Lonchura striata: one gene and its partners. The protein of the gene in region 4 interacts with the protein of the main gene of each other region in a biochemical or structural test. Links are inferred from orthologs where the notes say so. Each region holds a gene or a part of one and is shown on either strand. Other genes may lie near its edges.

Region 1 (7,472 bases), on a different chromosome or scaffold from region 4:
ACAAAAGTTAAAAAGAAAGCAAACCCTTCTATCCATCCTTCATAATTCTCCTTCTCACTGCAAACTGAGCCAGCAATAAAAAAACCAACAACCTAACAACATAGATGAAATAAATCAGGAATACAAGCAGGCCTAACTATAACTGAAATACCAGCCAGAGCTTTAAAAGGTTTGGTGGGCATGGAAATTGTGACTCTTGAAAGTCAGGAGTTACAATAATATCTGAAACATTCAGAAGGCCAATTTGGGCTTTGATAAACCTCTGTTAATTCAGTGAAAGACACAAGAAACAATATTTTGCAACTGCCCTGATCTTCACACTTCTTTCATAAATAGTTTTCATTCTTGTAACATTACACAAGGGATGCATTATAAAAGTAACAATATTAACACACAATCCAGATGCTCCTCTTTCCCATGAATCTACTGCTGGAGTGTTTAATGTTCATCAAGCTCATACTTGCTAAAGTCACAACCCAAAATCAAGAAGCCAAGCTTCAAACAACGGAAGAAGAATGTCTCGTCAGCCTACACACTCATTACCTGAGATTTATAACTCAATGAAAACATGACTTTTTTTCTCCCATGAGTTTGCCCTGTTTGCACCAGGCAATAATGTAAGCTTTTATTCTGTACCGCTGGCAACAAATGGGAGGGTGGTTCCTCACAATGGCAAAACTGCGCTTCTGGAGAAAAATACAAAGAAAATAAAAATAAGAAGGACCTTTGCCAAGCTGCTTGCAATGCCATATTTTTACCCTCATTGACAACAAGCAGACAACACCTGGAATGTGAAGAGCAGAGCAGGCACACAACCACAGGGTGGTGGCTGCTAGGACTCACAGGATGGCCTTCCTCAGGCATTGTTTTCCTGGTTGTCCAGATGAAAACATCTCAGAATGTCCTGTGTGAGACATGAGCTAAAATGAAGCAGTACTCACACAGCTGGGAGATGCTACACTCATAGAAAGGGAGAGTAATTCTAAGAGTTACCCTTAAAGTTAGCTTTATAGCTAAATGAGAGGGTGTTTTAACACTTCCTGAATTTTATGCAAAACTTTTTGCAGAAAATTGACAGCCCCTGCTTATTCAGTTTTACCACAAGGCTCAATTTTGACCAGGCTAAACAGTGGAGAAGAATGAAGGTATCATTTCAGCTGAAATGTACACCCAGAAAACACTAATGCTTGTTGACTAATATACCCATGTTAGTTGTGATCACAAGCACCACAGGTAAGAGACAAGACTTTAGAAGGCTATTTTCACTGCTTTGAATTACACTGCTATAAAAGCCTGATAAGCAGGACACTGGGCAAATTCTAAAGCTTTACATGCTCCACTAAATGCTTTTCCAAAGCAGAAGCTTTATGGTTGTACACCAGCATCTGACTGTGAAGTCTCAAGTCCTAGTTGATCTCTGGACTCTGAGCAGAGCTGTCATTCCCCAAGCACAGCCTTCCACCTATTTTCCCTTAGCAAAGTAAGAACCTAAAAACAATGCAGAGTGATACAGAAGGCCACAAAAAGAATGATACAAGCAGTCAGAAAGCTGGCTATGAGCACTGCATCACATCTAGCTGGATTGGTTTTGGCAGAACTACCAGTAACACCACAAGATTCCAGCAAGGGAAAGGGAACAGACCAGAAGCAGTTGTGGAATGCTACATGGCCAACTTAGGTTCATCCCATTCTGCTTGGATTTTACAACAAAGCTGTTTCCAACACAGGCATCCCTGGTGTTAAAGGGAAAAGTCAAAATCCTGAACACAGGGAGTTCTGCACCAGCATACAAGCTGCCTTTTTTATTATTACTTACTTATTTTCTTTGTTTTTTGCAAATAGTACCTCTGAAGATATATCTTTGACTGATAAACAAGTTTAGTTAAAATTTGTCAGGGTTTTTAAAACCCCACTACCTTCCAAAGGGGACTTCTGCACCTGCTCAGAGTTGCTTATAGAATCAAAGAGTTTTTAATTTGTGTTTCAGAGGCTTCCAAAAAAAGAGCTTCACCTGCCATGCCCTCCCTTCCTTCCCCCTCCTCCACCACACAACATGTGCACCCTGGTTCAGGCTGCAGCCGGTGAAGCAGGATAAGAACTTTCTCGGGAAGTGCTCTTCCAAATGGGATCTGCTAGGACAAACAAGTTTGGTGCTCTCCCGTTTTACTTTGCAAATGTTTTCCTACTACAGTTCAAAGCAACTAAAACGCCGAGCTGCAATTCCTCACCTCTTTGAGTACACATAGATACCCACGCCGAGGTCCCCAGAAGAAGACCAAGCACTAACTCTGGGCTGGGAGCCCTGTGGCCCCGTACAGTTTGTGGCAACACCGCCAGCCCTCGCTCCGTGAGACCCAAGCCCCTCCGGAGCGGGGGCAGCAGAGGCGTGGGCGAGCGCAGCCAGGATGCTGCCCCGCCACCCCTTACCCCGGGGAGTTCCCACGCAGCCACACGGGTCAGAACCACCTCACTGCCGGAGGGCAAAGCCTCACGCCGGGATGAGCAATCCCCGCCCGCGACCCGTTATTCAAACGGGGAATCACAAGAATGCCCGGGAGCAGCCCTGCACCCAGTCCCCGGCAGGGCTGCCCGGGCCAGGAAGCAAAAGGCGCTCCCGTCCTCCCCGCAGCTACCGAGGGAACAAACATGTGCTCCGAGGGGCCGACGGGGCCGCGCTCGGCGCCGCCCGCCCGGCGGAGCGCCGCCGCGCCGACAGGCAGGCCCCCGGCTGCGCCGTCCGCAGACCGCAGCCGGGGATTATCGCGGGCTGCCGGCGTCACCTCAGGAGACCTCAGCCCACCTGCGACCCGGGGCTACCCGGGCGGGCAGCGCTGGCAGCCGGGCCCGCGGGGGCGGGCGGCAGGTCGCGCCCGAGCCGCGCCTGCACAATCATCAAGCAGCGGGGCAGCGCCGGCCGCCGCTTCCCTTCCCGGCGCCCGGACGCTCCGGGAGCCGCGCTCAAGTGCGAGCCGGGCACCCTCAGCCGAGCCTGGGCACTCCCGAGCGGCCGGGCGAGGTGAAGCCAGCGGCGCTGTGCCCGGCGCCGCGCCTCCAGCGCTGCCCTCCCCCCTGCCCTCGCCCGGGCGCTCACCAGAAAAAGAGCCGGGAGCAGAGGTTGGCATCCTGCAGCGGGTTAGGCTTCTCCTCTCGGGGCACCGGCTCCATGCCGCCCGCCACGCCGCCCCGACCCGCCCGGCGTGCGGCGAGGGCGCAGGACCACGGGCGACTTCCCACCGCCAGCAGCCGCTGCTCCGCCGCCGGCCGGCGCTGTTTCCGGGAGAACCAGCACCCCCGCCTCGGCCCTCCTCCTCCTCCTCTTCCTCCTCCTCCGGCTGGCCGCCACAAGACGCCTCCTGCCGGCCCGGCTTCCCCGCGACGCCCGAGGAGGTGCCGGGCAGCGCCGGAGCCGCTCCGCTGCGGCTGGCTCAGTGCGGACCGAGCCCCTGGCCGGCAGGCTCTGCTCCCCCCGCTTTCGCACCTGTGTGTGCCCCTTGCTGATGGAAAGCATCTCCTCGCTGCACGCAGCGCCAGGCGAGGTGGCGCTGGATTTTTGGACAGAAAAATCCCTCACGAGTCAAGGGCAAGTCAGACTTAGCGGGACCAAACGCTTGCTGTCAGCGCTCCTTCCCTGATATTGCATATTCTTCTATTAGAAATCGATAACCAAACCATAAGAACAATGTTTAGGAGAGGTTGGCGATACATAATAAAGGAGCGAATTAATTTCAGGACGTGGCGTATCACTGAAATTGACAGTTCTAAAGGTTCAGCAGGTAGCCTCCTCTCCAGTCACCTCACCTATGGCCTGCCAAAGGGACCCTGATGAAGAAGAGCGAAAACTGCAAGGAAAGCAGAAAATGCAGGACAGGTACCTGAAGTAACCTAAGAATTGTTAATCTCTGTGGCAGAATGATTCCCTGCCATGCTTTTATTTCTCTGCAGTCTATAAAATCCAGGATGGCTGAGGTTGCAAGAGACCTCTGGAGGTCAGCTGGTCCAATCCCTGCTGTTTAAGTGCCATGCCCAGGCAGCTTCTGAGTATCTCCAAGGATGGAGATACTCTCCATAGTATACACAGCCCCTCTGGGCAACCTATGCTAGTGCTTAGTCACCCCCACAACGAAGAAGTGTTTCTTGATGTTCAGATGGAACCTGCTGTGTTTCAGCTTGTACCCATTGCTTCTGGTCCTGTCACTGGGTACTACAGAGCAGAACTTGGTTCTGTCCTTTGTTCATCAATATACACACTAATGAGACCCCTCTTAGCCTGGTCTCCAGTCCCTCTCAGCCTTTCCTCATAGGAAAGATTACTAGACTCCCTTCATCATCCTTGTGACCTTTCACTGCAGTCTCTCCAGTATGTCCATGTCCCTCTTGGACTGGGGAGCCCATAACTTAATGTAGGACTCCAGGTGGTCCTCACTTCTGAGTAGAGAGGAAAGATCACCTCAGGTCTGCTGGTAAATACTCATTCTAATGCATCCTAGCATATCATTAGTCTTCTTTGCCACAAGGACACATTGCTGGCTTATGTTCAACTTGGTGTCCACCAGGACCCCAAGCTAGCCCCCAGCCCATAGTGGTGCCTGGGGTTGTTACTCCCTGGGTGCAGGACTTTGCTCTTCTGTTTTTCGAACTTCATGAAGTTCCTATGAGCCTATTTTTCCAGCATGTTGAGGTCCCTCTGGATGGCAGCACAGCTCTGTGGAGTGTTATCAGTCACTGATCAGCCACCGCCCCTGGTGGTCTTTATGGAAAGACTGGATGTGGCACTTGATGCCACATCTAGTTGACAAGGTGGTGTTAGGCCACCATAGGTTGGACTCAAGGATCTCAAAGGTCTTCTCCAGCTTAATGGATCTGTGATTCTGTGATCATCAGTAAACTTGCTGAGTCAGCCCTCTGTTTCCTACAGATCATTTATGAAGATGTCAGATAGTTTTGGACCTAATGTTAACACCTGATGTACACCACTAGTTGCTGACTTCCAACTAGATTTTGAGTAACTAATCACAACCCTGATCTCCTAGACTCCTCAATCCGAGCCAGCTGCAAAACAAACTCCATTCTTATGTTCTGTATATTCATTTCATGTCCCCAGGAGCAACCAACCCTCTCTCTTCCTGCTTATATGTATTGACAGTGAAACTATTGACAGGGGTAGCATCTGACTTTAATTATACACATCAGAGTTGACACGTTGTTGAGATAAAAGAGGGTTGGGGCTACACTATAGTGTTGAATAAATAGCATCAGTTAATGCTTGAATGAATGTCATAACCGTATGTCAGACAAATCCAGCTTGAGCTTGCTGTCAATGAGCACTGATGGAGCTGGAAACAGCCTGCACTGCTCATGCATGGACGATGTGTCACAGAATTTCATGAACAGTAAGTAGTACACCTGTCAATGGCTTTCTCTAGATCCTCCCAGATAAAAACAAGGGAAAAAAGCTTGTGGAAAGGATGCAGTGGTTTGAAAGGGCAGTCTTTAATGAAATAATCCCTATATTCCAGAGCCTGGATAATAAATTTAAAGGATCTCCCAAAATTTGTAAAGAAAAGCTCTGCCCATCAGTAAAATTTGACGGGTTTAGATTTCTCTGAGACAAATTTGTCTCAGACTCCCTTCATCATCCTTGTGACCTTTCACTCATTAAATACTCATGAGTGAATTAAAAGGTATGACAGCATAGTGTAAGTCCCAAAATGCCAATAAAGATTGGGTCAGGAAGAGGGAGAAAGGAAAATGTAAATCTTAAGGCTGATTTCAGCTTTGTGAATTAGATTTGCAATGAAAGATTACCCAAACATTTCTTAGTCTGGGGAAGGAAATAATAGCCTATTAATGAACAATTAATAATTTATTACAATTAATAAATATAATTACAATTAATAATTTATTTTCAAAATGCAGATAAAAGTATTAAAGCAAAATATTAAAATAACCTTTTTTCAGTATTATTGTGATGATAGAAAAAGGACAAAAAGCAATCCTCAAGAAATAAATTTTTAATTTGCCATCATTATGACTGATTTTGAAATATTTAGTTTACTCGTAAGTCCGAAACAAAACACTTCCAAAAAAGTTTTGGAGAAGAAAAAACTAAAAGGAAAAGGGAAAATAACATTTAAAAAAATTCTGAAAGCCAAATTAACCTGTAAGTCTATCTGCTGAGGGTGCAATTAGAAATTAATGCAGTAATGAAAAAGTGTGAAACAATTGGGCAAAGAAGTGTTCATGAAAGTCTGAGACTGCCCATGGAGAGGAAAGGGAAGGGAAAATTGCACAGTAATTAATTTAATAATCTTCTTTCTATTTTAGGAGTCAGAAAGAGCAGCTGCCAATTTATGCATTGAACATTTTGCTATGGCAACGCTATTTTCATGTGGAGAGAACAAGATAGGTAACAAACTAATCAAAGTGTGACTTAGTAAATCTAAATTATCACGGTCATATGGATAATGATCTAGCAAAACCAACTATTCAAATAGGGAAATAGCCAAATTAAGGCAGTGCCAACTGTTAAACTTGTTATGCACATACATTGTTCTGGGGAAATAAATTCAGATCATAGGGGATGTCACAAATGTGCAAACACACAAGATTCACTATTTATTCAGTGCACAAGAAAGCCAGTAGTCACTAAGTAAGCATTTTATCATGTGGCCTTATGCCTTCTTTACTGTCTTTTCACTTTGAATACAGTCAGACTAATATGTTTCTCCATCTGCATTTTTAGGGCACTTAGCATTGGGGAGTTCACAAACATACAGTTTTCTCAAAACCCTTAGAAGATTACTGGGCAGTTTCCATTGATATCCAAATAGCAGATATAACATGGATCTTGAGGTGAAATGTAGGTACTGATCCCTGTTACGCAAAGGCAACCTAAAGCTTAGTCTTTTATAGGACATAGCACTATAACCTTTCCCTTTCTAGCAAGCAGCCATTGATATCAGGGCTGACACCCTTATCATACCCCAGGGCCTTGAGATGAGCACCTAGAAAACCAAGAAGTTGTGGATGACTGTGTTTGAAGTCTTTATAAAAGATTTGCTGAGCACTACATGGTATTTCATTAGGGACAGAATCAAATTCAAAGCTGTTTGAAAGATGTTGGAGGGATTGGTGTTCCAAAGGCAAGCTATGATAGCAGAATGAGAAGGCTTTGCAGCCGTGCATTGTTTGAGTTTCATGCTTTTGACTGAAGCCAGGCAGAAAGGCAGACCGTATGCCAGCCTGACAACCCAAACAGGCAGCGTTGTGTCCCACCACACTGCTGGCAGGAGAGCAGGCTGTCCCGCTGGCTGGCAGCCCAGCTTGTCACTACCCAGTGGCCTGACTCATCCTCTGGCTGATGTATCCACAGGGGAACGGTGCTTGTCCTCCTGCAGTACAGACATATTGGCCTGTTCTCCTTCAGCTGCAGAGCAGAAAAGGCAGTGCTGCAGAACCAGCCTGTAATTCTG
Region 2 (7,627 bases), on a different chromosome or scaffold from region 4:
CACCAGAAACCTCAGCTCAGAGCCAGCAGCAGCCCCCCCTGGACACACATGCAGATGCCCCATGCTGCAGGCTCCAGCTCTTGCTGAGCCCTGTGCTGAATCTTCAGATCTTCCTAAGGAGCCTGGAGCCTGCACAGAGCCTGCCCTGCCCCACACAATGCTCAGGATGTGGTGCCCCAAACCCAGTCCCACGTAGTCCTCACACCTTCTTCCCGATTTCCTTTGTTTCTGGAGCAATATCTGAGAAGCCTGAGACAAGGAAGAGCAGTAGCTGGAGCCCGTAGGAGATGAAGAAAAGGATAAACCGTGGCAGGTCAGAGATTGGTTCCTGCAGAAATGGAAAGCCCAGGGTTATTGCTGGGGATTGTCTCAAGGCCCCTGGTACTCAGAGACAAGATCCATCCCCTAGCTGAGCCCAATAGAGCAGTGTAAAACTCACTCTGAGTCATGGATCAGCTTCCCTTTGCCACCTCTCCCTGCTTCTCCCTGACCTCCTCCCATAAGTGTTTAGTCCCCAAGAAACAGGATGAATCCTAACAGCAGTTCCTTCTCAGGTCTTTTCTGGTTCCCTAAGGTCCCCAGGGCAGCTAGAACCCCAGGGATACCACAGATACACCCAGTGATACTCTTCTCTCTGGTCAAGAGAAGAGTATGAAGAAGCTTTCTTTGAGAACAGAGGAAGACCCTGGGGGAGTGCAGAGCTTCCTGTCAAACCCAACCTGCAGGGCTTTCCGGACGAGCGACTGGAAAGGCAGAATCCCACAGAGAAGGGTCAGTATCCAGAAGCAGAAGAGCACCCCCGAGTCTCTGCGCAAGCAGAAGCGCCGTGCATCCTGCACCAGCAGCACCATCATCTGGGGGAAGGAAAATCGGTCAGAGAGGCAGGCCTAGGTCTGGCTCTAAAAGTGCCCTTTGGAGCATGTGTCCTGGGATGCCAGCACACATGATCTGCTGGGATTCACTGCCTTAAATACCCTGAACACACCACCAACCCTTCATGAGCTTCAGAATTAATTATATAGGACAAAGGTTTATTTCAGGAGGACATAAGATCAAGCTTGAATGTACTCTGACATTGCAGCAGGGCACTACTACTCTTTCTAGCTGTTTTCACTCCAAATTCTCAGACATGTCAAGCCGTAAGGGGTCACACCCTGTCTCCAGCACCTTGCCTGCAGACCTGAAACTGAACCCAGATCACATTCCAGCAGTGCAGCCTCTCTGGGGACTCCGCTTGCCTTATCATTTCACATGGACTCTGCATGTGAAATTAAATGACATCGCAAAATAATAAGGAAAGCAAATGAAGGTCTTGTTTTGCTTATAACAAATTTAACAAATGCTCCTGAGCATTTGTTAGAATTTTAAAAGACTGTTAGAATACTCCATGTCTCACACAAGATGTCTGTAACACCCATGCACATATTCCACCAAGCTAATAGCCACTAGATCCTCTTTAGCCAGCTTTCTCCTCTGCCTAGGCACCCCATGGTACTTCCTGGCTCTCTGCCCAAAACTGAGCAGCAATGTAAAGGAAGCTGTGAGACATCAGAGCAGCAAGCCATGGTCTGGTGCTCACATTGCAAAATCAGTCCTGTGAAAAGCATACTTTTCCAAGTAAGGTTCTATCAGAGAGCTCAGCTACACTTGCAGGCATAGAATCATCCCAGTTTTAAGGAAAACAGCAGTGAGCACTGTACAGCCAGGTATCTGCCCTCAACATATCACCCTCGTGCACCACCCGCACGAGTTTGGGACTAGGCCTATCCAATTTCCAGGCTAGCCTTGCCCCTCTGACCTCTGTGCTAGGAAAGCCTCGTTGTGCTCGGTGCTGCAGTCTCACCCTGTCCCTGGTGACACACAGCACGCTCCTGGCTGAGCCTTACCCAGGTGGCGATGTACAGGCTGGGGTTTGTGTACTGCACAGCTGGCACAGCACCCTGCTCGGCGTCTACGAATGCCAGGGCCAGCTCCGCCACTGCCGTCAGCACCAGCAGAGCAGCCAGCACCTGTGGGGAGAGAGGGCCAGCCCATTGGGGACACTGGGAACCAAGAGAGACAACAGAGTTCAGCATAAAATACACCCTCTTCAAGCCAGACGTGGCCTGGGACAGCTTTCAACCCTGTGAATGTGCCACAGCTCCACAGGAGCACTGCCATTATTTTCAGTTTGGGAGACAGCAGGCCAGAAGATGAGAGGCCCCAATACACACTCTGCCCTCCCTCCCAGTGCATCCCTCCCTGTTATGCTCTCTGTCCCAGATATGCCTCCTGCTCGACTCCCCTTTACATTTCTGTCCCGGATAGTTCCCTATTCCATTGCTCCTTCCCTCCCGCATTTCTCATCTCTCCTTCCCACACCTGCCTGTTGCACAGAGTCTTTCCACTCATACTACCAACACCTCAGGCTGCTCCAGCCTGTCATCTGTGCCCCTTCAGCTCCACTCTACCTGTTTGATGATGTAGAGTTTGGTCACAGAGGATTTCTTGGCTCTGGATTTGCACATGGGCAGGAGCTGCCATGGGGCCAAAATCCAGAAGAAGCCAAGGGGGATCCAGACCAGCACAGTCTGCTGGAAGCACACAGGCAGGTCGGCATCCGGACGAGCGAGGTAGGAATCATTCTGGGGCAGCAAGGACAGAACACCAAGTCACTTGTGATGGCTTGACTGACTTGGCACACAGGACAGAAGCAAACACTCCTATAGGTTCTGCCCACCCAGCTCCACCACATTGCATCCACCCTTCAACACCCACCCTCCTGGCTGGGCATTTCAGCACTCAGCCAAGGTCCAAGCGATACTCCCATCCCCATCTCTCTGCCTGAATGTGAAATGACCAGCCCTTGGTGGAGCCAAGCCAGCAGAAGCAGCTGAAGCCAAATAATTCTCCAAAAGTCCATACAGGCTGTCCTGCATTCCCAGGAAGGCTAAAACAGGACAGAGCTCAGTCAGAGAGGTGTCACTGGCTCACTGGTGAGCACTGTGCAGGCAGTGCACAGCACTCCTGGATAAACCCCAGAACTTCTGCCGACCACTGGCACTTGAGTCTCACTGGCAGGACAGGCTGTGAGCCCTGGAATCCGCTGCTGTCCCCACACGGGGTCCCACACTGAGAACAGGCAGTGGGGATGATGCAGTCACTCACCCAGAAGACGGAGCCGCAGAACTTCTCCAGGGCTGCTGACATCGCTCAGGGGAGAAGAAACGGCAGCACCTTCCTCTCGCTCTGCCCAACTGAGACACCTGGGCAGACGCTTGGGACAAAAGTCCCCCCACACCCTCAAGCGGTCTTGGGACAAAAAGCTCTGATGACCCACAGTTATTTATTAACTGTGTGCTATTGCACAACCCTACAAACCAAAGCAGTGATCAAAAGGGCTTGGGAAGCTGCACAGGCTCAGAAGGGAGGAGAGGAAGACCCAAGAAAGAGACCAAAGGAGAGATACAGGGAAGTCACAGTCACTGCAGGACACCACAGCCATTGCTCAGAAACCATAGCCTTGATCAGTGCACACCGACAGACACAAACTCGTCTGGACCTGCTAAAGACATTACTTGGATGCAACAGACCTCTCCGGTGAGAAGCCTGCTGAATTCCAACAAAAAGTCCAGCAAAGGCTGGTCCCACAGTGGCTGGTGCTGCCTGGCAAGGGGGACTGTGACACCAGCAGTGCCCCAGGCTTGGGAATCTGCAGTGTCTGGCACCTGAACTGACCACATGCTGCACTGGTCTGAGTCCTCAGGATCCAGATTCCTTTTGCTGATTTCCAGCCTGCAGATCCCGAAGATTTTCCAAATTCATTCTTTTGCTTCTTTCTTTTCCACATTTCCATGTTGTATGTGTGTTACAGCAGTTGGCTGACCATAAAATCATAAAAGAGACTTTGGATCTTTATTCTAAGGTAACCCCAACATGTGAGACAGAAAGAGGATGATTCCCAAGGAGACTGATTGCCACTGAACCCTTGTTGCTTAGAAAGGCCTAGGTGTGACAGGGACATGTGGTGACAGTGCTACTAAGGCTGGAACTGAATTTGCTTTAACAGGTGTGCTCTTGAGGAACAGTAGGGTGACTGCAACAATTGTGTTGTCTCTTGTAACGGAGTTAGAAGATAACTCAGAAGTCAAGGGTGACACAATGAGTAATTCCTCAGGAATCATCAAAACCAAAGAAAGGCTCAATGTCCAACTCAGTGGTTAATTATTAGCAATTTGTCTGATTAAGTCCATATGGTTTTGTAAATAAAACTATCCCTAGTGCTACGTCCTCTGGGCCAGAACCAATACCCTGCTCATGAGAGCTGTAAACAGATGCAATGAGTAAGAAGTGAATGGAGCACTCACTCAGCCCTTCTCTATCTGGACTGCTGATGCGATTCTTCTTTCTGACACTGGCATAGGTGTCCTCTGGCCTTGCTCAAAACCACTTGGAGCACTGCTCCTAAGGGGGCCACTTGTTTATGACACCTTCCTACATAATGCCCCATCCCATTGCTTGTCTCAGTTTTTAGTACAGGTCACAGCTCATCCTCACCCCCTGGCTTTGGTCTCTCACTCAAACTTGAAGCGTTGCCCTCAGCACGGGATTCCACTCTTCGATGTTCAAAGCAATCATAACCCACCTTGTCTACCCTCACAGCTGGAGCATGCTGCTCCCAAAAACCACAAAGCTTTACTGTCCTTCAGCTCCTTCCATAACTCTTCCTCCCAGAATAATATACTAATATACCCAGAAAACATTCACTGGGACCACAGCAGGTCAAAGTAATCTAAGTAGCACCTCTTTGGCCAGCAATGCCAGTTTCCCTGTGCTCCCCTGTCTTTATCCATCTGTTGTACAGCATGTTGCAGCTTTTCAAAACTAGGCACTGATTCAAGCCTGTCTCACACAGAGTCTGACCCAGAGGTCTCTGCCAGGCAATCAACCAAATTCCTCCAGCCCTCACTGCTCATATCTTCTTGAAGAGTTTCTCTGCCTTGTCATGTCTTACCCCATGTTCGAAAACCTGAGGCAGCGGGGTCAGCAGAATATTCTCACCTTATCATGATTATGATACTGGTAGCCCCATGATAATTGAGCTACCAGTACCATAATCATGACCATGAACTTTTATGAACTCTCTATATTGACCATAATAATGAATTTAATAATTCTTTCCAAGTTTGGATTCTTCCTACAGCCTGCACATCCGTCAGTGCTGAAGCAGGCTCTGACACCAGCACTATGCAGTCACTTCCTTCCCAGCTCCTCTGTTAAGAACTTAAGTTCCCAAGGTGTTTTGGGAGACACCAACACCTCTGATGGATCCATGTGAAAAAGTGGATGTACCCTTTAAACTAAAAATACATCGTCTTGATGATAAGTTTTCAATAACATAACTCTATTTAATGTGACAAAGGTGCTTCCACCTTGTCAAGTATCACATTTTTTCCATACATCCTCACAAGCTGTAAGCTACTGCGAAGATGGGAAGTGAAATCTGTACCCTGCATTTGCCTCCTGAGATCCAACATCTTGTCTGTCAGAGGGATTCTCTTCAGCTTTGTGATCTTTTACAGAAGAGCAGGCAGCAAGGATGAAGGTGCTTTACTTCTAGGTCTCTACTCTTCTAATGCTCCCTCTGATACCATTTAAATCTTTCACTGTGTATTTTACAGACTAACTGTATCTGAGGCTGACTAGGCAGCAATGACCCAACAGTCTGGAAAACAAGCAGTTTATGCTTTATGGTGGGAAAAGGACCTGGAAACTCCTTTAGAAAAAGCAGACTGTCCTCCCAAGAAATCTCATATACCATCTCCACCTCGAGCACTGAGGACACAGAGCCCAGGATGGTTCACAGCTTCCTCATCTAATCAGTCAGGTGCTTCTCACTACTTACAGCTGCTGCAGTTCTAATCCCCACCTATGCTACTGGCTGACCACAGCAGGCCTTGTTTCCCAGCTGTGGCTATGGTGTTTCCCACCCTGGCATCTTGGATGTGATTGTATTCTCTGGCAGAGCAGGGTCCTAATTCAGGCTATGCAACAGGGGTCATGGTCTTACCTGAAAACATAAACTCTGCAAAAGCACAGCAAGAGGGGGGCAGCTGCAGTGTTTATTTGACAATCACATGCAGTGCTATACAATTCAGTCCCCCTGCTTGCTCACCTCCCTTCCTCCCAGATGCTGCTCAACAGCTGCTGCTGCAACATCTGGAAATGAGTCCTTTTATTTAAAATGGCCAACGTAAGTTTCCAGGCCAGGGACTTCAGGGGAAGCCAAGGGAAAAGGTGTCAGGCTCCATCACCCAGTGCACGTCCTCTGCAGCTCGAGGACGGAAGCAGTACCCATCTGTCCGTGTGCCAGGGCAGACCCTGCAGTCTCTGCGCTCTTGTCCCACACGGTGCCCACCACTACAGAATGTTCTTGGCAATCGCGTTCAGGGTCCTCACTTTGGCCACATCCGCCACCTTTATGGAGTACTCGGGCGCAGAGAAGGACGCTCCCATGGCAACGTTCGGATTTCTGTCAGGAAAACCAGTGATTAGTGGTGATCTGCTGCCGATACAGATGGGAAAGATCCACCAAGAAAAACACCCCCATATTTCCCCTAGCTTCAGCATTGGCCAAAGATGGTGCCACCCAAACCAAAGCTAGGACAGGAATAGAAAGAACAATAATCCTAAGCCTAAGAAGTGCAGACCTATGGACAAATATAGCCCATTCCTCACTCAATTTTCAGAAGCATATCCCACTGGCTTGCCAAATCCTACTTGCTTATGTTAAAATTCTAAGGCAACTACACCACAACCTGCCTTCCCAAGTGCTCTCAAAACTCCTAGGGCAGCAGTAGCAAGAGAAATGCCCCAAGGATCAGGTTCTGCATGGAACACATGTCCTCGTGAGGAGTACTGCTGGATTCATACACTGCAGAATACAGCAGCAGGCACCATGATCCCAAACATAAAAGCACAACTAGTACTCAGGAAGCTGTTTGAAATCTATGCCAGTTCTACAAACTAATGTTCACATTCATTAGCCTTTCCCTCACAGAGTTCTGCTAAAAAATAAGCATAAATAATCAGTTACCTGAACTTCATCCCTGAGTCCCGAGCTGAGCGAGCAGAGCAGTGAAACTCGGAAGCAGTGGAGCCTTCCAGAATCCTCTGCAGGTTGCGCTCCGTGATGCCACCTCCTGGTGGGAACAAGCCCGATGTCACACACCGAGCAGATGTCACCATGCCAGACCTGACATCACCCCGGGACCTCAACACCAAGGGACAGGAGCCAAGTACACCAAAGGGAAAAAACAGCCCTTGGGACAACGGGCACGTCAAAAGAGACGGGAGAAGCCTTGGCTCATGTTCTCCCATAGATACAGAGCTGTCCCCAAATCCTGCAGGGAGCAATAGCCACAGGGCTCTGCCCTCCCCAACGGGCTGCATGGCCTTTAATCACACCAGGACAGGAGCTGCTCCTTCTGGCTCAGAAAGCCAGATCAGAAAGTGGATTCCAGGGCAAGGAGGCTAGCAATGAAAGGCTAAGGATTGCAGGACCTGACACAGATGACAAAAAACCATTACCTGGCACCACCACAATTCTGCCCTTTGCCTGAAAGAAGAGTAACATACATGTCAGTGA
Region 3 (8,134 bases), on a different chromosome or scaffold from region 4:
GTAAAGCCTAGTGAACCTTTGTACAGATTAGATAGAAATCATGCATCTGAACTGTTGATGAACTCCCAGCCATAAACCCTCATGAACTGGGTATAGGTTATATATTTATAGCTTACCTTGGAGAGATCTCATTATTTTGTAACTGCTACACATGGCAGAATGGCTGTGTTAAATTACATATTAAAACGTGTCTATATTAACAAATATACTGATTGCATTATTATTTTCTGGACTTTTACTAAAATTTATTTTGAGCATATTAAGCATGCATCAGATACAACTAATTGTGACCAAATGTTATCACAGACTCGGGAAGTCAGCTTTCTAGCACTTCACTTTGGTACTCAATTAAAATACAAAATCACTAATGTCCTACTGTTAATGGATTTGCTAGTTGTTTACTATGAAAAAATAAATTATAAACACGATCCATAAGCTTTGTGTGTGCATTTATAATTTTTGTTAAATCAATCGTTTCATATAAAGGTTTAGCTTATTGGGTTGTGGGTGGAGGGGCCAGAGGGAAAGATGTTGCCAAAATTTTGCTTTCTGTTATCATAATCTTTATTTGTAAGTAACTGACGACCAGTGTGTGTGAGACTTCACACACAGCAGCATGAAGTCTGCCAAGCAACACCGTATTTACTTATGGCATGTAGACAAGACACATGCAAACAAGCACAGGTAATAAATATTTAGCATCCATGCTAAATACCAAGCAGAAACACACTGCTTCCCTGTGCATCCCAAGAGGTTGTGCTATCATTCCTCACACATGCCAAAGGCTGTTGTCACATTCATCCCAAGCATAGTTCTGCCTCTGGAGTGACAGCCTTACATCCTCCCTCCATGCAAACTGACATGAATCCTATTTAGCTGTATTAAGATTAAATGAGCTGAGTTGGGAAGGATCCAAATCCAGTCTCAGTCTAAAGCAGACAGACTGAACAGAGTGTTTTACTAAAATAGCCTCTGCAAAATACCTCTTTTTCATTTACAATAAGGTGGCAGTTAGCCCCACTAAACAGAAGTTTAAGTAGGAAAAAGGCTTATATTTAGAAAGTATTGACACAGAGTCTTGTCCATAAATGCTAGCCAGAAGGTCACATCTCAGAAGTCTTTACAGTACTACTGTCCTTCCCCAGTGGATGGTGGTTTATACCATCCACCTTTGTTATTCACTGTCTACTGAGCCAAGAAACAAAGAAAAATCACCATCTCTGAGGGAATACAAACCTAGCCTTGCCAAGCAAAAGGATAAACACAGCTGTATTTTTTTAAGAGATTAAAGAGTTTTTGTACACCTATCCATGGCTTCCAGTGAGACTTAGTCCTAAACCAGGATTTCAGATTATTCTAACCAGGATATTTCAAGAAAGCACTCTGTAATTAGCAAACAGCTAACAAGGCAGAAAGAGATTATTCACACACGACCTTTTATAGCCATACTTTATAAATTATATATTTGCTTCCCAGTTACAGAAGGGCCCTCTCAGTTAGATGTTATTATATGCAGCAATATATCACCTCCTACTGATGAAATACAGCCAGAGAGACTGAACATTTATCAGTTCTTAGGACTGAGCACAGTTTGGTTTTGGCTGTTTTTGTCTTTTGTTGGGTTGTTTTTTTTTTTTTGGTAGGTCTGTAGAAACTGCTTATGTAAGTTAACCTAAGTACTTTAAAAAAAACAAAAGTTCAACTAACTTTAACGTTATAGTGATAAAACATTAATTACTTATTACCACAAAGATAAGCTTGTTTGCTCTTATTTCACATTTCATTTAAGTGAGCTAATACATAAGTCCTTCACTGCATTGCATTTTAAGAAATGTTGCCTCTATTGAAAATACATAGTAACAACAATCTGTTCTGATTATGCTCTTCAAAGTTCAAAAGTGCGTCTGCTCCAACGACTGCTCAAAGCGCCGCATTAGGCAGTTGGCGCTCCAAGGGAATTACCGTCTCTAACCGGCACAGTAGCAGCAGACTTTAAAATAAAACAAACAAAAAAACCCACTAGAAGGTCGGAAGGGGAGGCGGTGAGGAGGTGGTGGTGTCAAGAGAAAGAAGGAGGGATAAAAAAGACCGTTCAATTGGAAAAAAAAAAAAAAAAAAAGTCCAACCAAAAAAGGAAACAGGTCTTCGATAATGCCTGGTAAAGACCAGCGTGGAGAAGTTTTAATAAAAGTCCCTAGAATTTATTTTTTAGGTGGCAAAACAAGGAGAGAACAAGCTTCTTCCTATTCTTTATAGATGCATACATGCTTTACAGATGCATACATGCTTCCTGTAGATAAATGCATAGGCCACAAGCATACTAAATGGCAGCCGGCGCAGTTGTAGCATTTCTCGTTAAGCGGGAGCGTGATGAAAGCTCTTCTTTCGAGAGTTACTCGGGAGCTCTGTGCATGTCTAGCACGGAAGCGCTGCACAGGACGGAGCAAACCCACCGCCCGATCTCTGGAGCACAGAGATCCGGGGCTCCGTGCTCCCTTTCCCGGCGGCGGGACGGCGAGGAGAGCCTCCAGCCCACCCGCGGCCCTGCGTCCGCAGGCAGCCGCCCCAGCGATCCTCCCGCTCGAGCAGCCGCCGATGTGGCTCCCGAGTCCCGGCGCCGCGCACAACTTCCCGGGCGCTCGAGTCGAAACGCCCCGTCCAGTGGCGGGGAGCAGGGACCGGGACTCAGCCCTTCCAGCCCGGCAAAAGCCCGCGCCGCGACACCCGGAGGCGACCGCCCCGCCGGGCACCCGGGCTCGGGCGAGTCCCCAGCGCCGGGCGGGCGGGCCCCGCTGCGACCCCGCGGAGCGCCTCCCTCCCTCCGCGCCCACTCACCGGCTTCGGCATTTTGAGGGTTTTGAGAGCTGCTGCTTCTGCTACTCCCGACACAAACGTTCATGCGGCGCCCGCCTCGCCTCTGCCGAGCGCCCCGTGCGGAGGAGGTGTAGGAGGAAGGAGCCGCTCCCGGCCACGGCGGCAGCGCAGCCCGCGAGTGCGGCGCCGGCCGCCCGGCGGCGGGTTAAGTACGGCAGGTGGGGCCCGGCCGTGACTCACCGCCGCCGGCCATGCCGCCGCTCCCCCCGGCGCCTGCCGAGCGCGGCACCGGCCTCGCCCCACTGCGGGGCACCCCTGCCGGCTTCGCTTCGACGTCCCCGGCGCGCAGGGGGCACCGCGGCCCCGGCAGCCCCGAGCCCCCGCCGTGAGGGACGGGCGGGCGGCAGGTGCGCGGGCGGCGCCGCCCGAGCCCCCGGGCACGGCCGGGCCGCGCGGGCCTCGTGCGGAGCCCTCCGCGCACGGCCCCGGCCCCGCGGAGACCCCCGGCCCGGCCCGGCCCGCCGCGCCCGCACCTGCTCGGGCCTCGCCGGAGTCGGCGCTTCCCAAGCCTCTGGATGGCACGGGGAAAGCGTCCGGCACAGGCGTGATGCCTTAGGGGTGGCCTGTAATAGTTGCTGTGTTTCTTGGGAGTGCGAGGTCAGAAAATTTGATTACTTAGCAAAACACAGGCTTGCTTTGTGTAGTAAAGCATATTTTCAGCAATGTCAGCAAAAGAGAAAACTTTGAAAATCCATCTAAGCTCAGGAACTATAGAGTATACTTCAGCTGGTTCTGACTTTTCGTATAGCCTAAAAAAGTTCATGCAAGTAGCGTAACAATTTATAAGCATATACAGAAAGCAAAGTTTGTCTCTCTGCCCCTTGTTCCTTCTCCCTCCTCACCCATGAACGTAATGCACTTCTGTGATAGTGTCTGCCAGGAGCTGCTGGCCTTCCACTGCATCTCCTTGCTTGGCTGGTCACAAGAGCACATTGATTTACATAGTCATGGGCAACGAACGGCCTGTAGCACTGTGCCAGCAATGGCACATAGCTGAGCTGTGAGATTGAGGAAATTGTGCAGCTTGTACCCAAGCTGCTGTCTGCAACACCCCACTTCAACCACTGTCTGTCTGTTTAGCATAGGACATAGGATGGGAACAGGGAGGCATAGAACCAGAAAAATAACATCCACTACATGGAAAATATAGAGGGCAGGAGAGAGCCTGGGAAATATCAAGGGATGGTGACAAAAAGGACAGCCCAAACAATACAAGTCTTGCTTTGGCAGAGTTCCAAATGGTGTCTTCCCCCACAGAGTCCACCAAGCAGCACTTGGTTGTGCCACATTAAAATAAAAGAATCATGACTGTGTCAGGTCTGTGAAAGAAAGGGGAGGGGAGCCAAGTTGGAGGCTGAGAGAATTAATGGTAATATTCCTTTTCTGTTGCACGATCCTCAGAGATTAGAGGCAGCTTTACCATCAAAACAGAGCCATGGGGGTGGCAGCTTGCAACAGCAGGTGAGAAGAAATAGTCTAAGCTGAACAGCTTCCAGGAAAAGGGCCATGGGATCAGACATCCTTGGGAAACAGATATGACCTCCATTTTCAGTTGAAACAATTCCACTGAGATTTACAGGTTAAGTTAACAAAATATGCCGACACTCGGATTGGGTTAATTTAACAAAAATGTGATTTGTGAAGACACTTTCTATGCTCTTCTGTTAAGCAACAAGTTTATGGTGGGATTCATGCCTTATTCAGCAGGATGACACTGGAAATGAACCAGACCAAATTATCAGAGTGTTTTGGGTATGCTGCCAACCACAAGAAACAACCGCTCCAAGTAAGAAGTGCTGTAAGAACCCAGCTTCTGCAGCTCTCACTCAGAACCCTAAGTGACATTCTTAGATATTTTGGGGAGGGGACAGAAAAGGATAGAGATGAGATATTTTCATGCCATAGTCTTAAAATCCAGATTTTGGCTGTGACTGAAAACAGAGAAGTCAAAACAAACGTGTGTGTCTGCATCCCCTTGAAACAAAGGATTGCATGGATCTAATGGGAAGCCCATATTCCCAAAATCCTTTCCTGTCTATAGCTCAACATGGGCACAGAGACCATCACTCTGGGGCTTCACATTGAAGAAACTCCATGTCAGAGAGAGATCTAATACATCATATTTAGTCAGGTAAGTATTTGTTCCCATATGTTAGTTACATATCCAAGCTTAACCCCCTGGTTTTGTTGGGTTTTTGTTGTTTTGTTTTTTTTTTTCCGAACCCTTACCATTGCTTCCTAAACACACAAACCTAGGGGCAAAAGGAATTTAGGTGACTATTAATTATGTGTGGCAACATACAATCTCTAGGTTCCTGTTTGCCACAGCACATAAACTTGTGCCATTTTCCCACAGTCACCTGCAATACATGGGGAAAGGTAGATACCTTAATGGCATCCTTAACTACCAGCTTGCCCAGTACTGCTCCACCCAAAACCAGCCACTGTGAACATACTGAGCTTACACAGGAAGAATTGTCTTCAGTGGAAGGAACCAGAATAATTGCCAGTTTGGAGTATGTCGTAGATACCCTTCGCTTCCTTCCTGGGCTTTTTCCTCATGCTAGGTGTGTTTTCAAACCCTCTTGCCTGCAGAGCTCAGTACCTTATTGAAGACTTGGCTAGGTAGGTGTCTTTGTGACAGTACAAAACTCTCTTCTACAGCTGGGTCACTCAGCTTCTTCCTTTTTATTTCTCTCCCCACCTGTCCCCTAGAAGGATGGGAAGGTATATAATGCAAGCCCCTTCTTCCCTTTTATACAGAATCTTTCCCATCCTTTCCAGACACAAATCAGTTCCCCTCTGCTCCAGAGTGATGGTAAAAGCCCTCAGTTCTCTGGATTTCCTGAGAGTACACTGAAAGTTAGTATATTGAATTTTGAGAGTATGGACATTGTGTATAATACCGATAAGCATTGTATACAAATGCTTAGAGACTGGATCCCCTTTGGAGTGTGTGTGAGGGAGTATCGAAGAAGGCGTGAAATGGGCACAAAACAATCAACCCATGTCAAGACATCCTGGGGCAGAAATTCAAGTATAGAAAAAAATATACAAATATGCAATCTGGGGAAAATTCCACATTACAACTCTATAGAACTTGGTTACTTCTGGATTTAGGCATTAGCTAAGCAAGAGAGAGCTTTTATGGCCACCCTAACCATATCATTTTCAGTCAGACTTCACAATTAAGCATAAGATCCAAATCAAAATGAAGCCTTTAAGTCACAGGATTAAGATCTGCTCTGATCCTGCACTTACTCTTAACCTGCTTTATTAAGAGGATAGCATTACCAACTATTTACAGGAATTAATAAGGCAGAGAAGGTGACGAAAGAATCCGAATTGCACAGCAGGTCAGTAGCAGAACCCAGTTTCTGTCTTCTTCCCTGTAACAGTTCCTGTGACTTACTGACCCCTAACCAAACTGTGTCATCCTCATTAAGCCTGCCTTCCTTCTTTTAGAGAGAAGACTAATTTCATTTTCCTGTTATCCTTTAAGCTGTAATAAGATTTAAACTTGATGTGTATAATTTAGGAATTCCAAGTACTTGTCTGGGTTTGCCCAAGCAAGTCCTATCACTATGAAGTGGCTTTTGCTTAACAGGCTTTGTGCCAGCCAATTTTTAGTCAACATAAAACTTCCTAAGTCAGATCATCCTGGAACTGGGAAACATGAAATCTTGTGCCCTAAATCCATTATTCTTTTTTGCTCATGCAGAATCAATAGTCTCAAGAACAGAGAGATCTAAACTCCCTGTTTCTCTGAATAGAAAATTTCATCCAGGTTAGGCAAGGCATAGCTGGAAGAGTTTTGCAGATTCTCTGTTGGTTTGTTTGCAGATTTTTTACTAACAAAAACCTATAGCAGCTAACTGTCCTCTTGACAACTCACAGACTATGCATTTAGTATAGAAGCTAGAAGAAAGGACATTCATTAGAGTAGTTAATGGAAAGGATGCCACGTTCTGAGACATACATAGATTTAAGGAGATTTGCTCTCATGTAGGACAGTCAAGAGTCTTTGATTTTCTTTGTGAACTGGAAGAGCTGTAAGAGGAAAAAGAACCACATGGGATTACTGACAATAGTTTCTTTTTCATTGTGCATAGCTGAATAAGCAGTTTATTACACATTGCACATTCTGAAATTTTGGCATTATAATTCCTGAAATGTCAGACTTCAGGAAGAGTGACCAAGGACCTGGTGAGATGTAGTTCTGCACTGAGAGCTACTTCCCCACTACCCACACTGAGCTTACTGAAAACTTGACAGAATGAGGTCACAGTGGACCAGCATCTATTGGCAAAGCCAATGTCTTGAGACATTCTCTGGGTTTCTTATGAAGAGGATAAATGGTGTAAAAGAGCACAAGGCTTGTGCCTCATTTTTGCTTGTTCCTATGAGAAGCTGCTGCCAAGTTCAGTTGCTTATTGTTCCTACATGAAAAGCTACTCTTGCCAGGTTCAGTTTTTTGTTGCTTTGCTATTTTTTTTTTCCAGTAAGCGTAGATTGAGTTTTTTTTTTTCCTGAACCAACAAGAGGTTAGGTGCATTCAGGCCTGGAAATAAACCTCATTCAATGATCCAGTGGTTACATGCTGGGAGATCCTTATCTTTGCCTTCCTAATCGATGATCCTAATCATCAGTTTGTCTTCCAGCAGCACCCTCAGGTAGTCCTTGGGATTATTTGACTCTTTGATTGACCATCATGGAGCCCTACGAGGACATGGTAAATTATGAAGAAAAGTATATATAATTAAGTTTATGAAAGATTATTTTAAAATGTTGTAAGAAGGAAAAATAATCAGACAAGACTTCAGGCTTTTATCTGGTTTGTTCTTACCCATCATAAAAGGAGAGAAAAGCTTAAAGGGAGATTAGGTTTCTTCTCAATAAGTTGTAAGAAGCCTAAACACAGTTTGCTTTCAGTTCCCATAAGAGTTGTCTTAGTAACTTCTCTAGTAACACATTCTTCTTCCACAGGAAACTTTCACAGGGTGTGATGCAAAGTGTGCAATAAAATCTTCTTTTCAACTAAAACAAAATATAATTTGGCATTTACATTTTGTGTACAATGAGACTGAGAAATTATTTACAATGGATGGGGAATGCAAGACTTAGTGGTAGGTAAAATACAGATAAAATATTACTCAAAGTAAAGGCAGGTTTAAACATGAAAGTGACCAGGGAAGGAAAGTCTATGGTAATCATCTTTGTAACTGAAATCCACAATGAATTATTGATCTACCAACAAATA
Region 4 (7,255 bases):
TCACACGGGTCCCAAAATCTGGCACACACATTCGGGCTTCATACAAAGGGGATGCAAAGCAGCCTCCTTGCAGCATCCCTGTCACGTCCTGTTTGACTGGAGCTGCTTTTCATGCAGCTGCCTTGAGAGGAAATTTAATTCATTTCCTAATTAAACTCCAGCTACCCCAGTGCAACAGGGGGAACTGCTCCCTGTTACACTCTGAAACCCAGCCCTGGGAGGCTCTCCCAGGTTTTACAAGGAGGGAAGAGCTTTGCTGGCAGGGAGGGTTCTAATTTAACATTAAATTTGCAAGAGGGAAGCCCGGGGCTGGTAGCAAATGCCTTGCCCTGGTACCAGGGCCCTGTGCTGCCCTGGGAACACTGCGTGGTTTGTATGAAACTTTCTCAAGACACTCCCGAGCAGCTGAAGCCTCCGGAAATAAAGAAAGAGGCAGACAAACTGTCACAGCTCTCAGTGGGGGGACACCCCCACGGCACAGGGCCCCAGGAAATGAGGCTGACCTGAGGGGTGTGAAAGTGTCACCACACTGGCTCAGCACCGCAGACAGGGCTCCATGGATCAGCTTCCCAAGGAGGCTCAAAACCACATCATCAGGGCATTTTCACACTCAAGGTTTGATAGGAATGAAAAAGGAGCCCATGACAAGTCTCCCACAACTTCCTCAGGGATCTGTGGGGGTCCGAGCCCCCTGGCAGTCCCAGTCATGCAGGACCCAGTACAGTCTGGAGAGACAATTGATTCTGTTGGAAGCTGGGAGACAGTAAACATTGCTCACCACAGGCAGCTCTCCCAGCTCCTGAGCGTCTCCAGGCTTGTTAAACAAATAAAGGCAAGTCCAGCCCAATAAAGCAAACAGAACTCTGACATGTGCAAATCTCCTGCTTCCCCTGTGATCCCAGGGAATCCTACCAGCCCACAGTGATGGGATGGGGCTGTGGGGGGATGGAGCAGCCAGCACCAGTTGCCTGCTAGTGGCCAGGAACAGGCCACCAGTGTGTTCCTTCCTAAAGAAATCCCTTTCTGTCTGCTCTGGCTTGGCTCAGCATCCCACCCAGCATCTTCCCCCCCTGCTTGGTGGGTGCCTGGCCTGGGCGACGTTTTTAAACCCACTTTTCCACTGGGCCCTGCCCCCAGCCGCAAGATTTCCTGCTGCTACCTGTTGAGAAACCATCTGGGGCCTTGTGGCAATGTCACCCCATGTCACCTGCTTCCTGATCTAGGGAGGAGAGAAACCACTAGCAGAGAAACCGCCAGCAGTAACTGTGCATGAGCTGTGCCCCGAGCCTGCTCCCCAAGGCTGTGGGGAATCTTCAGCCAAGACTGTCCCCGAAAGCCCATGAGGTATCTCCAGCTGGAGCTGTCTCCCAAAATCCTGTGGGGCATCTCCAGCTTCCTAAGCTCCTTCTATCACTCCAGCCAACACAGTGAGCAGGCAGCAGGCAGCATGAGAGGGCTCCATCCTCTTTGGGGACCACACATCCTTAGCCCCCAAGCCTGGCAGGGGACTCACCTGAGCTGGATTAAGAACATCCCTTTTATTTTTCCCAGCCCATGGAGAGGTCTGGGAGCAGAAAGCAGAGCACAGTCTCGCTAGCCCCGAGGGAGCAGCAGCACTGTGACATATGGGAGAGCAGGCACGTTCTCCCTGCACGGGGCAGCACTGGAGTCCAGCACAGGGCCACACGTGAGGGATGTGGGATGATACAGGGTACAGCAAGCAAGACAGGCAAACAGGGATAGAACATAGCCGTTCCTACCCAAATAAACCCATCAAGGAGGTGCTGGAGTGATGTTTTAGCCAGGCAGGAATGACAGCTGTGCCTGCAGTGGATCAGCCCAATCAGAGGAACAAGCACAAGGTCAAAGTCCAACAGGAGATACAGCTCAAAACTACCTAATCCTCAGGAAAACCCTATGTGACAGCAGCTCAGTGAGGCACCAAGGTCTGCCTGGGACTCTGCATCAACACTGGGAAGGCTCCACTGCACCAGCCTCTCTGGGAACAGGTCATAAGATTTCCCCAGAATGTTCCTCACACTGGGGACTCTGCCCAGGGAGCCATCCACATGTCTGTTGTAACAACAAACACATCTTTGCTGGGTAAATAAAAAGCAGTATTATCTCCCAGAGAGCCCCAAGCGTTTCTTAGGAACCGCTTGGGGCATGAAAGGTCAGCTATTTCTCAATTCCTCACCTTTCTACATCACTTTGTTTGTGCAACTGCTCACTCCCACGCGTGCTTAAGGCCGACATTCCTGAGTGAGGAAGCATCCGTGGGCACTGACTGCCAGGACCAAGCCCCCAGCCCGGGAAGAGCTTTGCTGTCTCCACTCCACTCCACAGCAGAGATGGAACACGCTCAAATCCAAGAGCGACTGCCACCAATACCTGCTGTCTCAGCCTCAAGAACACCCTGTGCCACCTGTTTTTTGTTGTATTTTGGGGTGGGTTATTGCCAGCCGCCCTCAGCCCAGTTCTGAGGTTGTGCTGCACGTCAAATCTCCCCCTGTTGCTTTTCTCCCCCGTTTTGCCGGCCCCGCAGCACAGGACTCATCAGGCTCAGCCATGGCTCCAACCAGCCCGATGAGCCCGTCACTGACACGGCTGCGAGACGGGACCATTAACAGGAAAAAAAATTATTTAAAATAAAAAAGGCAAAGCAATCGGGCGCGGCAGGACCCGGGGTTTTGAGGGAAAAAAAGAAAGAATCGAGACCGAAACCACACACAACGCCCAGGGCAGACGCGGCGGCCGCGGCTCCCGCTCGACCGCGGCCGGTCGCAACCCCGCCTCCTCGGACAACACCCTCTGCCCCGAAAACTTCCGAGCCCCGGTCCCCGGCCGCTCATTCACCCGCTGGCCGCCAGCGCCAGGCTCCCGCGCCGCGGGCTCCGCCGGCATCGGCGCTGCCTGCCCGCCGCCCACCGGCGGCTCGGCACCCGCCCCGCTCCGCCTCGCCAGCTGATCCTCGGCCGTCGAGTCTACGACGAGAAGGCTGACGGCGCCGGCGGCGGCGCGGATCCGCTCCACCACCTGCTGATGGCTCTCCCGCTCCACGTTCTCGCCGTCCACCTCCAGCAGCCGGTCCCCGGCGCGCAGCCCCGACCGCTCGGCCGGCGAGCCCGCCTCCACCAGCCGGATGAACTGGCCCGGCTTGCCCTTCTCGCCGTGCAGGTGGAAGCCGTAGCCATCCGGGCCGCGCTCCAGGCGGCACAGGCGGGCGGCGGGGCCCGCGCCGCTGCTCATGGCGGGGGAAGCGGCGGGAGCAGCAGCGGGCCCGTCCCGCCGCCCGCACTCGGCGCACTGCGCGGCAACGCGCCCGCCTCACGGTTTATATAGGGGGGCGGGGCGCGGGGGTCGGCGGCCGCCAATCGGAGAGCGGGGTGGGCTGATGCCCGCCAAATTAGGACAGCGAGGGGCGTGTCTATGCAAATCTAAAGGCGCGGTTATGCAAATATGGGCGGCCCGGGTGTCCCGGTGCGCTCTGGCCCCGGCGGGCGCTCGGGGCGCGGCGCCGCCGGGTCGCGGTGCGTGCCCCGGACCGGACCGGACCGCTTCCGTGGGCTCCCATCGCTCCCCCGTGATCCGGGCCACTCCCCGGTGCCACCCGAGCCCACGGCGCCAACTCCCGATCCTCGCTGAACTCCCCCCACCGGGGATCGGCTCTGTCTCGGAGACAGCCCCCAGCACGGCCGGAGACCGGGACGCTCCCAGCTGTTCCCGCTCCGCGACACATCCCGGGTGGCCTCTCGGGGAACATCCATCCCACACCCTTGCCCAGTCCTTGAAGGCTGCAGTTTGTCCCAGCGCTGCTCCGATGTAGAGGGTGGAGAGATGTTCGAAGTAAAATAAAAAGAAGTAAAATAAAAAGAAGTAAAATAAGATCCCTAAATTGAAACTGTGCGGGAAAGTAGGCATTGAAGAGGGAAGGTAACTCGCTTTGCAGTGGAAATGAGACACCAGCACTGTTCCCCAGCTGCCTCTGAACCTTGCTCAGCACCCTAGAGCTGGGGGTCCGAGGTGGGAGAAGATGGAGGGAACCCCGGGGATTTGCTCTGCCCTGGTTGCATGTTCTCTGCTCATGGACTGAGAAGCAGAAGTAGCTGCAGGGAGCCATGAGCATGTGAGATCCTGGGGTTTGGGCTCAGCCAGGGCAGAGCAAGGCAGCAACCACCCTGGGCTGCTCCGGCCGTGCCGCAGGGCTGCTGGTGCCAGGCGGAGCTGCCTCCTGGGATTGTCCCAGGTGGGTGGCACAGAGGTGGCTCCCAGTGCAGGGCCTGGCTGAAGTTCCTGGGCAGAGATCCTCAGGGCAGCCAGGATCACATTTAACTGAGCTGCAGACAGGCGAGCAAGGAGGGGACAGCTGCATGCCATGAGACACATCTCTCACAAGGTTCTCTGCCCCAAAACCCTGCTCAGGGACCTCAGTGGCCGCAGAGCCCCCTGTGTGCTCGGGGTGGCCGTGCTCCAGCTCCGTGGGACGCAGCTGGGAGCGCAGGGTGGGCTCATTTGTTTCCTCCACTCGGCTGAGCATTCGCCCGCGGCCGCCGCTGAGAAAAGCGGTGGAGAGGAATCCCACGGCAGCCGGCGACAAATGCCTTCGGAGAGGAAAAGCAGGGCAAGCCCTTGGTGTTGTGGTAGAGCCCCAGTACGGGGGGCTATCGCCCGTGTCACAGCCGCCCCTTGGTAAGGGGGCTGTGAGCAGCACAGCCCCACGAGTGAGCGTTTTGGAAAGAGCACATTTTGGGTACCCTGCACTCAGTCAGGAAACAAAACCCAGCTCCAGCAGGGCTGGTTTGAGCACGGGACCGTGATAAGGAAGAAAGGCAAGAGCAAAGGAAACGGCTGAAGCTGCTTTTGGGTCCAACAATGCCTGCGGGATGGCAGGGCACAGGCAGGACGGTCGCGCCCCAGGCTGCCTCCTCCTGCCCTTTGCATCTTGGGGTGAAGTTAAGGGAGCTCAGGCAGGAGCGGGGAAAGAGAAAAGAGCCAATGTCCGTTTGTGTTGAAGCCATCCAGCATTTTTTTTTGCAGACATCAGCCAAGCGGCAGCAGCAATGCCATTGGTGGGAAGACGGAGTTATTTGGGGAATGCTGGACTCCGCACCATGAGAACAGCAGGGGAGGAGGTTGGTTTTAATTTAACAGGCCATGTTTACTGTTCCCCTCTCACCTTTGGTCTGTCTGAAATGTGCAGTGAAAGCCCTCCCCGGCAGGGAGGAAGGGAGGAAGGGGCCCTGGGTGCTTCCCCCTCCCCAGGGCTGCTCCCAGGGCCCCCGGCCCGGCTGCTCTGCAGCGCCTGTGTGCAGCAGCCTCCCACGTTGCAGCCCCAGGGCAGGGATTTCTCACGCAATAAACAATCCGACAGATGCAAAGCCTCAAAAAATGCCCAGCTTTAATCTGTAAACTTGCAAAGAGAGACCCAGGGGCAGAGCAGAGGTGAAGGAGGCACCGGGGCAGGCGAGATGTGAGCAGTCAGGTGCAGGGCCAGGGAAGATGCAGATGGGGACAGATGTGCTGGACAGTCCCTGACTCCTACGTGCAGTGCCATACCCTGCACAGCTGCTCTCTGGATCAGTGCTTCAGCTACATAACTAAATATTCACCATCTGACTGCTCTGGGTAGTGCTCAGGGGAATGGACAGTGTGCTTGAGGGAGCAGCAAAGCTGGGCTGAGCACCAGGGATGTCCCTGAGCCTCACCAGTGCCCAACAGAGCAGTGTTTGCTGGCTGAAGGCTCTCGGGCATCTGGTCTCCAGAAAGTGAGTTCCAGCTGCTATTTGCTAATAGCAGGAAGGCATAGCTGTGTTACGTGGACAGTGATGGGAGAGAAACCCAGCCTGGCTTGGGAGGTGGCAGGGCTGAAGCAACACCCCAAGTTATGCCACCATGGGCATCTCCTGCATGAGGCTGGAGATGGTTCAGTCTGGAGGCACTGAAATGGAAAAGCCTTTTCTTGTTTAAAAAAATAATTTCTGTAATTTCTGTGGCTACAACATGGGGGGAGCAAAGTTTTTCCAAATTGCTGTCTGTACCAGAAGTGCCCCAAGCATTGCTCGGATGCTCCCAGGGGAATTTCACTTCTCACACCAGCTGTGTGGGCAGGGAGCAGGTTTGGCTGGACCCTTCCCCATCCCAGCCCTTCCCTCGAGCAGAGCCAGGATACAATGGGGACATCATTGCATTTGTGGCAGCAGGAGGATAAAAGCCTTTGGCAGCAACTGCAGAAATGAGGAGCCACAGCTGATTGTGGGCACTGGGGTGTGGGGCAGCCCGGGGGACAGAGCTGATGTTCCTTGGAGGGAAGCCAGAGCCTGGCAGCACCAGGGACATGGGGCTGGACCAGGCCCTTCCAGTTGGACAGAAGCAGCACTGTGAGCAGGAATAGCTGCAAGGGAGGACAGGGCTAGAGGCTGCAGGGAGGCTCATCCATGGCACAGCCCCTCCAACTGCTCCAAGGGTCTCAGTGAGGTGTGTGGCTGTGTCCTGCACCCTGCTCATGTGCTGGAGGTGATGGATCACCATGGCTTGCTGGCCAGGCTGGCAGTCACCACACCATAGTGATTCCCACGGTGGCACACAGGTCGTTGCTCTGCAGGGCAGCAGGATTTGAATCCTAGCACCAGGACAAGGGCTCTCCTCATGGACTCAGCTCCACTGTACTGTGCCATCCACCTTGGCTTGTCAGAACTTGGTTCCCTCTGGTGCTTGAGGGCAGGATTGGGCCCCACTCTGCTTCCCACCTGGGCCCCCAGGCCTGCCAGCTCCTCTGGGCCACCCTCAGGAGAAGGCACAGCAGCTGGATTTCTTCTTCTGTGACTCGATGTACTCGTGGATCTGGAAGTGAGGCTCATCCAGCGGCTGCCCCGCGCGCTGCTTCAGCTCCCTAGGGTGGTGGGGCTGTGTTACCCTCTCCCACACTGTGCTGGTGTGTGGGAGGTGCTGGGGCTGCAGGGGACACCTTCCTTGCTCAGTGCCCTGGCCCCAGGTACTCACTTGGCAATGGCCAGGAAGGCCAGCTCCACGTTCATGCCCGTCTTGGCACTCGTCTCCATGAAAGGCACTCCATACTCCTGCAGGAGCAGCACCACCCCATCAGTGGCTATCACCAAGATGCCCTCCTGGCCCTCTGAATCATCCCTGTAGCCTGGATGAGGCTTGAGGGTCATCCCCTCCCTGCCTTGCCCCAGGATTTGCAGGCAAGTGACTGCAGTGCTGGCCCTGCAAGCACCAGGCGGGTCTGGGCACTCAG

What was found.
Region 1: the proteins of NHERF1 (region 4) and ABCC4 form a complex in vitro, tested with the Homo sapiens proteins (3 studies listed by BioGRID and IntAct, with this or other methods). The link is inferred for Lonchura striata from reciprocal best matches to the Homo sapiens genes NHERF1 and ABCC4.
Region 2: the proteins of NHERF1 (region 4) and ABCC2 form a complex in vitro, tested with the Homo sapiens proteins (2 studies listed by BioGRID). The link is inferred for Lonchura striata from reciprocal best matches to the Homo sapiens genes NHERF1 and ABCC2.
Region 3: the proteins of NHERF1 (region 4) and EZR form a complex in vitro, tested with the Homo sapiens proteins (2 studies listed by BioGRID and IntAct). The link is inferred for Lonchura striata from reciprocal best matches to the Homo sapiens genes NHERF1 and EZR.

What each region holds. Positions count from the first base shown.
Region 1 is NC_134604.1:76,662,660-76,670,131, forward strand, and holds the start of ABCC4 (ATP-binding cassette sub-family C member 4), read right to left. Parts: upstream 3,257-7,472; 5' UTR 3,166-3,256; coding exon 3,092-3,165; intron 1-3,091. UniProt on the Homo sapiens protein: ATP-dependent transporter of the ATP-binding cassette (ABC) family that actively extrudes physiological compounds and xenobiotics from cells.
Region 2 is NC_134609.1:18,584,855-18,592,481, forward strand, and holds the start of ABCC2 (ATP-binding cassette sub-family C member 2), read right to left. Parts: upstream 3,284-7,627; 5' UTR 3,190-3,283; coding exon 3,148-3,189; intron 2,625-3,147; coding exon 2,451-2,624; intron 2,010-2,450; coding exon 1,887-2,009; intron 855-1,886; coding exon 720-854; intron 329-719; coding exon 206-328; intron 1-205. Other genes in the region: copper homeostasis protein cutC homolog, read right to left, coding at 6,400-6,511, 7,076-7,181, 7,570-7,597. UniProt on the Homo sapiens protein: ATP-dependent transporter of the ATP-binding cassette (ABC) family that binds and hydrolyzes ATP to enable active transport of various substrates including many drugs, toxicants and endogenous compound across cell membranes.
Region 3 is NC_134605.1:53,569,320-53,577,453, reverse strand, and holds the start of EZR (ezrin), read right to left. Parts: upstream 3,070-8,134; 5' UTR 2,848-3,069; coding exon 2,836-2,847; intron 1-2,835. UniProt on the Homo sapiens protein: Probably involved in connections of major cytoskeletal structures to the plasma membrane. In epithelial cells, required for the formation of microvilli and membrane ruffles on the apical pole. Along with PLEKHG6, required for normal macropinocytosis.
Region 4 is NC_134621.1:5,648,473-5,655,727, forward strand, and holds the start of NHERF1 (Na(+)/H(+) exchange regulatory cofactor NHE-RF1), read right to left. Parts: upstream 3,273-7,255; 5' UTR 3,250-3,272; coding exon 2,857-3,249; intron 1-2,856. Other genes in the region: RAB37 (ras-related protein Rab-37), read right to left, coding at 6,784-6,889, 7,000-7,076. UniProt on the Homo sapiens protein: Scaffold protein that connects plasma membrane proteins with members of the ezrin/moesin/radixin family and thereby helps to link them to the actin cytoskeleton and to regulate their surface expression. Necessary for recycling of internalized ADRB2.